Linked DNA regions of Arabidopsis thaliana. The protein of the gene in region 1 purifies or fractionates together with the protein of each later gene. This does not show direct contact. Each region holds a gene or a part of one and is shown in the gene's direction. Other genes may lie near its edges.

What was found. Proteins that work in one complex are often made in the same cells at the same time.
Region 2: the proteins of AT4G30820 (region 1) and CYCH;1 purify together in Arabidopsis thaliana (affinity purification with mass spectrometry; 2 studies listed by BioGRID, with this or other methods). This does not show direct contact.

What each region holds. Positions count from the first base shown.
Region 1 is NC_003075.7:15,004,843-15,009,159, forward strand, and holds AT4G30820 (cyclin-dependent kinase-activating kinase assembly factor-related / CDK-activating kinase assembly factor-like protein), read left to right. Parts: upstream 1-1,651; 5' UTR 1,652-1,715; exon of another isoform or gene 1,716-1,805; 5' UTR 1,806-1,860; exon of another isoform or gene 1,861-2,264; 5' UTR 2,265-2,301; coding exon of another isoform or gene 2,302-2,344; coding exon 2,345-2,369; exon of another isoform or gene 2,370-2,651; coding exon of another isoform or gene 2,652-2,674; exon of another isoform or gene 2,675-2,759; coding exon 2,760-3,016; intron 3,017-3,157; coding exon 3,158-3,223; intron 3,224-3,311; coding exon 3,312-3,536; 3' UTR 3,537-3,782; downstream 3,783-4,317. Other genes in the region: scpl29 (serine carboxypeptidase-like 29), read left to right, coding at 21-284, 359-492, 592-687, 795-900, 987-1,175.
Region 2 is NC_003076.8:9,769,681-9,775,427, forward strand, and holds CYCH;1 (cyclin H;1), read left to right. Parts: upstream 1-1,622; 5' UTR 1,623-2,081; coding exon 2,082-2,141; intron 2,142-2,357; coding exon 2,358-2,408; intron 2,409-2,484; coding exon 2,485-2,563; intron 2,564-2,659; coding exon 2,660-2,772; intron 2,773-2,879; coding exon 2,880-2,953; intron 2,954-3,135; coding exon 3,136-3,256; intron 3,257-3,364; coding exon 3,365-3,433; intron 3,434-3,702; coding exon 3,703-3,744; intron 3,745-3,927; coding exon 3,928-4,005; intron 4,006-4,356; coding exon 4,357-4,415; intron 4,416-4,553; coding exon 4,554-4,638; coding exon of another isoform or gene 4,639-4,704; exon of another isoform or gene 4,705-4,723; coding exon 4,724-4,999; coding exon of another isoform or gene 5,000-5,004; 3' UTR 5,005-5,195; downstream 5,196-5,747. Other genes in the region: ALY1 (protein ALWAYS EARLY 1), read left to right, coding at 1-26. UniProt on the Arabidopsis thaliana protein: Associates with CDK-2 and CDK-3 and activates the CDK kinases.

The sequences.
Region 1 (4,317 bases):
TGATGAATGTGTGGATGCAGGTAGGAAATGGGCTGATGGACGATTTCCATGACAGGCTTGGTCTTTTCCAATATATTTGGTCGTTGGGTTTTATATCTGACCAAACATACAGCTTACTGCAACTTCAATGCGGTTTCGAATCGTTTATTCACTCCTCCAAACAGTGTAACAAGATTCTGGAGATAGCGGACAAAGAAATAGGTAACATAGACCAATACAGTGTCTTCACCCCAGCTTGTGTTGCCAATGCTTCCCAGTCAAATATGTTGCTAAAGAAAAGACCTGTAAGTGGCCTTAAAACTTCTCTTTTCAATGTTACACTCTTTAGTGTCCTAATTTCTCTGTTTATTTTACTTAGATGACTAGCCGCGTGAGCGAACAGTATGATCCTTGTACGGAGAAACACACTACAGTTTATTTCAATCTTCCAGAGGTTCAAAAAGCCCTCCATGTCCCACCAGGACTTGCACCATCAAAATGGGATACTTGCAGGTAAAATTGCCTTGCAATATCTTAGAAACTTGGTTTTGGAGGAAATGAGCCTATTTAAGTATTGTAACAATTCTGATCCCGACAGCTTTGGTTATGCAGTGATGTCGTGAGTGAACACTGGAATGACTCTCCTTCCTCGGTTCTAAACATTTACCACGAGCTTATAGCTGCTGGGCTTCGTATCTGGGTTTTCAGGTCTCTTTCTCTAAATATATCCACTGAAAGCACTTTAACGATATCTTTTCTTCAAGTGTTTTGGCGTTTTGGTGGTAAAAAGAAAAGGTTTTGTTCTTTGGTAACAGTGGGGACGCAGATGCCGTTGTACCAGTCACATCAACCCGGTACAGTATCGATGCACTAAACCTTCGTCCTTTGAGTGCCTATGGTCCTTGGTACTTAGATGGACAGGTACAAAACAAAACTCAAGATGAGAAAATGAGAATCCTTTTCTTATGTTATAAGAAAAACTTATAAACAGTCATGATTTGAAACAGGTGGGAGGGTGGAGTCAGCAGTATGCTGGTCTGAACTTTGTGACAGTGAGAGGTGCAGGCCATGAAGTTCCTTTGCACAGACCGAAGCAAGCTCTTGCGCTCTTCAAGGCTTTTATATCTGGAACTCCATTGTCCACACATGAGAACAGCATCAGCCGCGACATGTCTGAACTCGTTAGTGACTCATAATGAGTTCTGATTTGATGTAATGTGTGATTTGGATTCTCAATCAAAAACTTTCCACATAGGCCGTTGAAATAAGAAGAGGGAAAGAGAATAAATCAGTGTTTTAAGTGATACGTTCAATGCTTCTTCTTCTTCTGGTTGTTTGTTTGTTTGGATAAACATTTGCTGCTTGGAATCTAATAAAAGAAGTTTCTACCATTTGTCAGCCATACGATCCTTGAATAACAACAACATATTCTTGTGTAATGAGAAAGTGAAGTCTGATCTGTGATGTATAGGACTGGGTATTAATCTGGTAACGGATATAATACTGGGGTAGAAAATAGAATTTAGACTAGTATTGGGGGTCTAAACGAAATTATACAGAAGCATTGGGCTTGACTTGGCCCATGAGACCTAAGCCCATATTTTAAAGAATTAGGGGTTTCTTCTTCCTTTGTCTGTTCAAATTGAAGAAACCTGTTTTTTTTTTTTTTTTTCTGGAAGTGAATTGTCTTGAGTTGAACATTGAACTTCAATTGGTCGGAATCTGCAATTTCTGAGGTAAAGGTTTCATTTTTAACCTTTATTTGTTTGGGTTAAGATGAGATCTACGACGTTTTGAATGAGGATTCGGACGGTTGGGTGTTTCAGGTTTGGGCTCAGTGTCTTCTCTCGCGCGTCCCTCTTCACCTTCTTATTTCTACCTGTGAGTCTCACTTTTCTTCTCTCCGGTCTTTAGCATTCTATTGAATAGAAGAATTGGCATATAGCTATTAGCTATTTTCCTCAGATCGTGTTTTAGGCGACTTTCTGTTCTCGCTTGCTTAACATTGTACTTCAGTGTCGAATTCATATCCTACACATGAGTCTACATAAACATTGTGCTTTATGCTTGCTTCCTTAGTTCCTCAGAAATCCTTGGAAAATCCGCAGATTTATCTTCTTCGCTATCTGGAATTGTTTTCTTCGTAGGTTTCTTCTCGTTCATGTGTTTTTCCCTATTGGGATAATGGTTTTCAGCTCTAAAGATTCTATAGCCGAAAGTAAAAATAAGACTTGTGTAATATTTGCTGCAGCTTTATTTGCGAAATCACGTCTAAAACCTTGTAGGTAGAGGAAAGGACAAGAATCCCAGGCAGAAGCAACCATGGTGATGGTGTCTAATTCTACCCATCAAAATAAGGAAATACATGTCAGAAGGAGAATCTCTGAGATGTATTCTTCGTTCTGATCTTTTTCTCTCGTTGCATATCATGCTTGCCTGTGCAAATGGTGTGATATTTAAACCCCTTGATCAATCTACTGCGTATTGATCAGTATAGACTCTTAGCATGTATAGCGCTAAATTTCACATCTGATCATTTTTATAGAAAATACTTTGTTCACTGCATACACTTAATGAAGCAATTCTCCCATCTATGGACCCAGTGAGATGCTCCATTGTTTCCTAGCATACCTTAGCATAAAATGGAGATCTTTAGTCACAGTTTCTAACAGATGAGATATAGATTTATATTAAGGTATCAATTTTTTCATTCTGTAGAAGCAGAGTATTTTCAGCCTCTTGAGTATCATGTTTTTTTTTCTTTCTTTCTGGTGATGCAGATACAATAGACGGGAAGAGGAGTTTCCATCACTTAAAGACTACAATGACTACTTGGAAGAAGTGGAGTGCATGGGTTAGTTTCACTTGTGCTCCTTATTTTCTCTATTCATGCAAGACAAGACCAATGTATATATTACCTTCTATTCCACCAGTATTCGACTTGATAGATGGAATCAATGTCGAGGCGATTGAGCAGAAGATTAAGAGATATTCTAAGGAGAATGCTGAACAGATAATGATTAATAGAGCTCGTAAGGTAGGGCCTACGTTAGCCTTACTTTTTCTTATCTTGGTTAGATGAATGAGTAGAGGAAAAGAAAGAAGATTAAAAGCATGTTTGGTTATATGATATCACTGTGCAAATTGCTTTTGGTGTATTTACAATTTGCTCCAACAGGCAGAAGAATTGACTGCAGCCTTGGCAGCTTGCAAGGCCAAACCCCCACAGACAGATGCTGACACGGTAAATTGGGTTTTAATTTTCATATCAACAAGCAGATGAAGTTTCCTGACGAAGCTGAAATCTCTTTACTTGTTTACGCATTTTGTAGTCGTCGAACCATGGGGTCACGGCTGGAACTACATATGGTCAGGCTTCACGACCAACGGGAATGGGCCCACAACCTGTACCTATAGTAGGTGGAGCAGAGCGTCAACATTACGCTATGGAAGACGAAGCGACGAGGAGGATGAAAGCAGAGAGAGCTGGAGGATTTTCTTTAGAGATAAGCAAGAGGAGGGCTTTGGAAGAAGCATTTGCAAGCATTTGGGTTTGATTTCTCAAGCGATATTAGTTTTGTCCCTTATGATAGTGACTAGGAGGTCTTGATAGCTTCCATTGTTGTCTCAGTTTACTGTCTTTTACTCTTGTGGCTGGTTTGTTTTGTATAGTTGACAAGACTCTATTACGGGCATCAAGGAAAACAAAATTTACGAAAGAAAAATCGCAAAAAATACATGTACTTGTTCAATTGTAGAGAGACGGAAACAGATGGTAGAACAGAAGCAAAAAATAAGGAGGATGGACATAGTTATTGAATTTAAAGGGATTTTGATGTCCATATCAAAGACATAGTTTCATCTTTAGCAGTTACACCGTTCCCAGTTGCCATAACATTTTCCTCTGTTTCCATACCCATCAGTATATCAAGAAATGATTCGGCACCGTCTAAACAAGACATAGAACAAAAATTCAACTTAGGAAACTTGAGGTATATGTAACCTCGGCAACACAGGCCACATAATTTGCAAATTAATCGACTCTGGCTACTGTTACGAACAACTTCCCCTTTTAGGTCATCGCAACTGAATGTGGAACCACACTTTATGTAAGCAGAGGAGTCAAAACACGCATAGATGGTGGATAGTGGTGCAACATATGTTGCAAGTGTAGAACCATGTTGTCGTATCTATTTTTTCTTCACATATTTCGCACCAGTAGATTTCATCTGTGCTAGTGCTATCTTCATAGCAAAGAGAGAGAGGATGCTCATCATATTTCCAGCATAACTGATATGGGATGGTTGCACATTTATAACACATTGTAAACTCACATTG
Region 2 (5,747 bases), on another chromosome or scaffold:
TAATGGCTCTTGTAAGAACGTCATGAAACATTTGTGTCCTTTGTAATTAACCTGACATCGAAGATAACACTTGGAGATCAGATTTAATTGTTTGGATTGTAGAGGTTAGTTTAGTTTATAGTTAGTTAATAATTTGAACAGCTCCAAAGGCTGTTGATAATTAGTTACCATTGATTCTGTAACTTTTTTTTGTCATCATTCATTGTAACTTTGGTTACCTTTTACTTTGGAGCTGTTTTTTTTTTCTTTCTTTCTCAGTGATTATTTTCTTGGGTCATTTTGGATCCTAATGGCTGAAATAATTTATTCCCACCTTAATACAAAATCTCAAATATATACTATTCCTTAACTAAAATTCTAGAACAATGCCAAATGGATATGTTTGAAATACCTTTAATAACAACTAGGATTTAACCTGTGGTGTACCACGGACAAATGTTTTATTCATATATAATAATATTAAATTTTACGGTTTTTAATTTAGTATTTAAGTTTTATAATTTTATATTAATGTTATAACTAAAACAAATGGTGATGATAAAATAATAAAATAAATATTTAACATGTGCTATATCAATCCAAACTCGTCCCACTATATTTCATATCAATCCAAACCCGTCCCGCTATATTTCTCATCTCATGATATTTTTTTATAAGTTTAAATAATAATAATGTTTTATAAAGTTAAAATATATCTATAATATTTAAAAATAATAATTATTTTTTACTTAAGTTGGAAAGATTTTTGGAAACGTTTGTTGAGCGCAATATAAAGTATTTAAATTTTCAAATCTGAATAATTAATACCAATTATATATCTTGAAAGATCTTTGGCAACTATTGTTGAATATAATATCTTGTATTTAATTATCGACAGGAAATATTTAATGTCAATGGCATGACATTGTAAATACAAGTACAAAATTTATTTGCTAAAATGGCTGCAAAAATGTATATGTAGATTTACTTCTAATTTTAATGTTTCAAAGGACAAAACTAGGCATGACCATAAAATCCGAAGCCCGAAAAACCTAGTTCGCTTTGGTTCGAGTGGATCTAAAGTGTTTATTTTGGGGTTTTGGTTTGGTTCGTGTAGGATCTGAAACCTGAACAGATACCTGAAATATCGAAACTCAAACGGATACATGTAACTCGAAATAATACGTATACATAATTTGTCGGTAAATTCAGGTTCAATATCAGGTTTCAATTAAATTTGAGAACCAGCCCGAACCCGAATAGACCTCAACCGATATTTTCAGTTCCTAAATGTATTTTCAATCTCTTTACCAAAGTAACCCAAAAACCCAATCTAAACAGACCCGAAAATCCGAATGTCCAGACCTAACTAAAATCGTGAGTCAAACTCAAAAAATGATTGATTAACACTATATTATACTTTTACTTAGATTCTATAAATTGGACACATGTATGGGTGTTATTAAGGGTTGGAAACATAAATTTAAGCCATGACCTTATTTTTGGTTGGAAAATTCTTGTTCTTTTTTTTGTTAGTAAAGGGCTGTTAATAAGGGTTTTAATGGGTTAGCGAACGACACCGTTTATAATAAATATGTTTGCTAAACGACATCGTTTGACCTTAGGGTTTATTGTTTAACATGAAAGAACGTCGTTTCACCAACGTTTCTTCTTCCTCGCAAGTCTCAAAGCCAGGAACGATCTCGCCGTATGAGCAACTTCCGACATTAACACTGTATTGCTCTGCCGTACTCTCCTCTTTTTCCCTTCATACTCGTCTTCACATCTGAATTCCGACAAGATATTGCGTCTGCTCTCCTCTCTTCCCTCATTCTCGTCTTCTCATTACCAAAAACATCTTCTTCTCGTAGCTAACTCAATCCAATTCCAATCTCCATTCAAATCGAGCACCAGATAATTTTTTCTCCTAAATTCTAATATAAGCCCTAAAATTCAAAATTGAAATATCTATAGAATCTCCTTCCGATTCAGACGGATAATCGCCATCAACAGCGTGTGAATTCGATCAAAAATCTGAACTTTCCACAAAGAAATTCGAAAGCTCAGATTTTTCGATTTCGAAAATTTTGAAAACTCAGTTAATGGCGGATTTTCAGACATCAACACAACGGGCCAAGTGGATTTTCACTCCCCAGAAACTGGTAATCCCCTTCTCCTTCTGATCACTACAATGCGGCTTTATAATTATATTTTGTTCATCTTTGGATTTTCTTTGCTTTGATTGCTTCATAGAGAGTCGGATTAATCGAGCATTTGGAACTCTTTGTTACTTAGTTATGTGTGTTGTTGTTGTTATTATCTTACTTGTTGTGTAGAGATATTGGTATTGCAACTAAGCTGTAATGTTGTAATTGTAGGCAGAGAGATATAAAGCTGCTAACCAGAGGGCAGTGCAAATGCTGGAGAAGGTTTGTTAGAATAATTGTTGATATGGAGCTTTAGTCCTGTATTCATGTTTAGATTTTAACTTATTGTTATTCATAGTGTGGAACAACTCAAGTTGAAGTAGATGCTAGTGGATCACTAACATATCCTAAAGATAAAGTTGGTTCAGGAGATCAAGGTAAAAATTTTGGTTCCTTCAATATCTACTTCATACGTATCATAGTTTTGTTTGTCGAAGTTTAAATAATGTTACTTTTTGCTTTGTTACTCTCAGCTGATAAGAAGCTTAAGCCTTTGAGTGCTGATGAAGAAAGGTTCATGAGAGCATTTTATGAGGCAAAGGTCCAAGAAGTGTGCAGTGCCTTTGCATTTCCTCACAAGATTCAGGTGCATTTCTACTCGTCGAGATAGAAGTTTATGATGAAGTTAAAAATAAAATACCTGATTTTTGTTTGCTCTCTGAATTTATGTTTCTTCCTTCTAATATTTTGCAGGCAACAGCCCTCCAATACTTTAAGAGATTTTATCTGCAATGGTCTGTTATGCAACATCATCCAAAAGAGATAATGTATAGTTCTTTTAAATCCTCAAAATGGTCAAAAGCTTTGCTTTTTTCAAGAGAATAGTTTTGAAATTGTTTACCAAATGGAGCTAAGCATTTTGTATTTCTGAGCTCTGAGAGGCTTTTTAAGTCAGTCATAAATGGTCCATTGTTGTAATTTGGACTAATTGTTACCTTTCATTGAACAGGTTAACCTGTGTGTATGCAGCTTGTAAAATAGAGGAGAATCATGTATCTGCTGAGGAAATTGGGAAAGGGATTAACCAAGATCACCGAATAATTCTCAAGTACGAGATGGCTGTTCTTCAGGTATGATATGAGTCAATTAATTTGTACCAACTTCCCTATGTTTATTTTTCCCTGGTGTTCTTTTCTCTCTCTATTCTTTTGTTCATATTATATTAACTCTATGTGCAGAGTTTGGAATTTGATCTGATTGTTTATGCACCGTATCGTGCAATCGAAGGTTTTGTCAACAACATGGAGGTAAATCAGTCCTGTCTAAATTTCTTAGTAGGTTTTCTTATTTCAACTGGCTTTTCTCTGTTTACATCTTATAGTGATGAGACTCTTTTTCAGTTTATTGGCAATTGTTTTGTTGCAAACAAAATTCTGAATGTTAACTTAACGCCAAGAACTTGGTGAACCATAATAGGATATACCAAGATTTTCAATACTTTTTTCGGTGTGTTATTTTTCATCCTTGTTGAACTTCACGCTATCTTCAAAAGTAACCTCATCTTTTCATCCTATAGGAATTTCTTCAAGCTAGAGATGATGAAATCCAAAAACTAGAGGTAGATCTATCTTCAGATATTTCCTTTATCTTCACTAGATTTTAAGCATGTGGTAACTGAATGTGGGATCAAAATGTAAATTTTAGTGTAAGTTTGTGATCATAGCTGTAAGTCTATTTACTTAACAGGCTTTATTGAAATATTATTTTCTCATACTGGCATAACTTTTCAAGTATTCTGCAGAGTTTGCTCAAAGGGGCGACAGCAGAAGCCGATAAAGTTATGCTCACAGATGCTCCACTCCTCTTTCCTCCTGGCCAGGTGGGCATGCTAGTTTATTTTGTCTCCCTAGCCTCTTATTATCAGATTAAAGATACTGAATAATATCCATCAAAGAATCTGGTTAAACTCATTGTTTGGGATATTTCAGTAAAGCTTTAAATATGCTACTCAAGACATAAATTTAGGATGAAAGTTGGTGCTTTGTTTTCTCTTTGACTGATATTTAAGTGAAATTAATGAATGTTTATGATATAGTAGTATAGCTTATCGATATATACTCACCTTGTTCCTTCTTTCAGGATTTTTCGTTTTTCTTTAGCGTATATGTAACAAAAGAAGTATCACAAATTGTTGTACTGTCTCTCAACTCTTGAACGTGTGCCCTTGTAGTTGGCATTGGCGTCGTTACGTATTGCAAATGGGGTTCTTGGAGTGATTGACTTTGATAGGTTATTTCTCTTATTCTATATCCATCCCGATTATTTACCCTTTTAATCTTTCCATGATATTAATCTCGTGGTCTTGAATTTCTGTATATGCAAAGCTTTTTACTGGTTGTATTTTCAACTAAACTGCATTTGGTGCAGGTACCTAGAGAACATTGTTTCTCAACCGAACTCTGAGCACACGACTTCAGAGCTTACAAAGTTACTTGATAACATCGAATATTTGGTATTTACTAACTTCCATAATTATCTTAACAATGAAACTTGCATATCTAAAAGGAAGTTTTACTAGATGCTCTCTCTTATCTCAGGTAAAGAACTACAAGTGCCCAAGTGAAAAGGACATGAAGCATATCAACCGGAAGCTAAAATCTTGTCTAGGACATAGTTCTTCACATGACGAGTACACTAACAACCTCTCTTCTACTAATTCTTTTAACCACTATATATATTTCATAAGCTTTGCTTCTGCAATTGACTCCCTTCTCTATTTATCTTCATCAGGAGTAAGAAACGGGAGAAGAGATCAAAACACAAGTCCCATAGGAGCTCCAATGATACACCAAACGGGGCACCGCCACCCATAGGTTGAGTTTCTCGTACTGCCATTAGCAATTCTTCCTTTGCACTTTGGTTTAGTTTTAATCTTATTGAATGAGAAATTCGTCTTTTATAGTTTCTTCCCCGTTGTTGTTCTTACTAGTAAATTTGAGCAGATTATGTATAACAATGATATTGGCCATAAGTTTTGTTTATTCTGAAGATGTTAATGAATTTATAACAAAACTTCCATTTATTTTAAGTTTTGGTGTACATAACAATCGTCAAAAATGGTTTGTTTGCGATAATGATCAACTTTTTACATGATCAAAAGTTTTTCCAGACATTTTGATACTTTCTAGTTACTACCACATCTGTTCTTACACAGAAACAAATGGATATGACTAGTGTAGCGGTAACTATCAAATCCTAATAATAACAATGAAAATTTGTATTAAATAACCAAAAACCATCGAAAATAAAATTTGGATTGTGAATGAAACTTGTAAAGATGCTTGATTGGTTGTGCTAAATGTCTTTTACAGCCATAATATATTTGTTAAAGACTAAATTGTTGCCAATTATGTTATAGTTTTTTTCTTTAACTTAGAGCCCCAAAAAAAATCTTTTTGTTTTGACTGTAAATCTTTAATTTTCTACATCCTATTTTGTGTTGTAGATTTTTTTTTTTTTGTAGATTTTTTTTTTTTTTTCTCTCCTCTAACTTTTTGTCACGATTATTTTCAACTAATAATCTAAAATGTAGTTATATGAATAACAGATAAAGTATTTTAT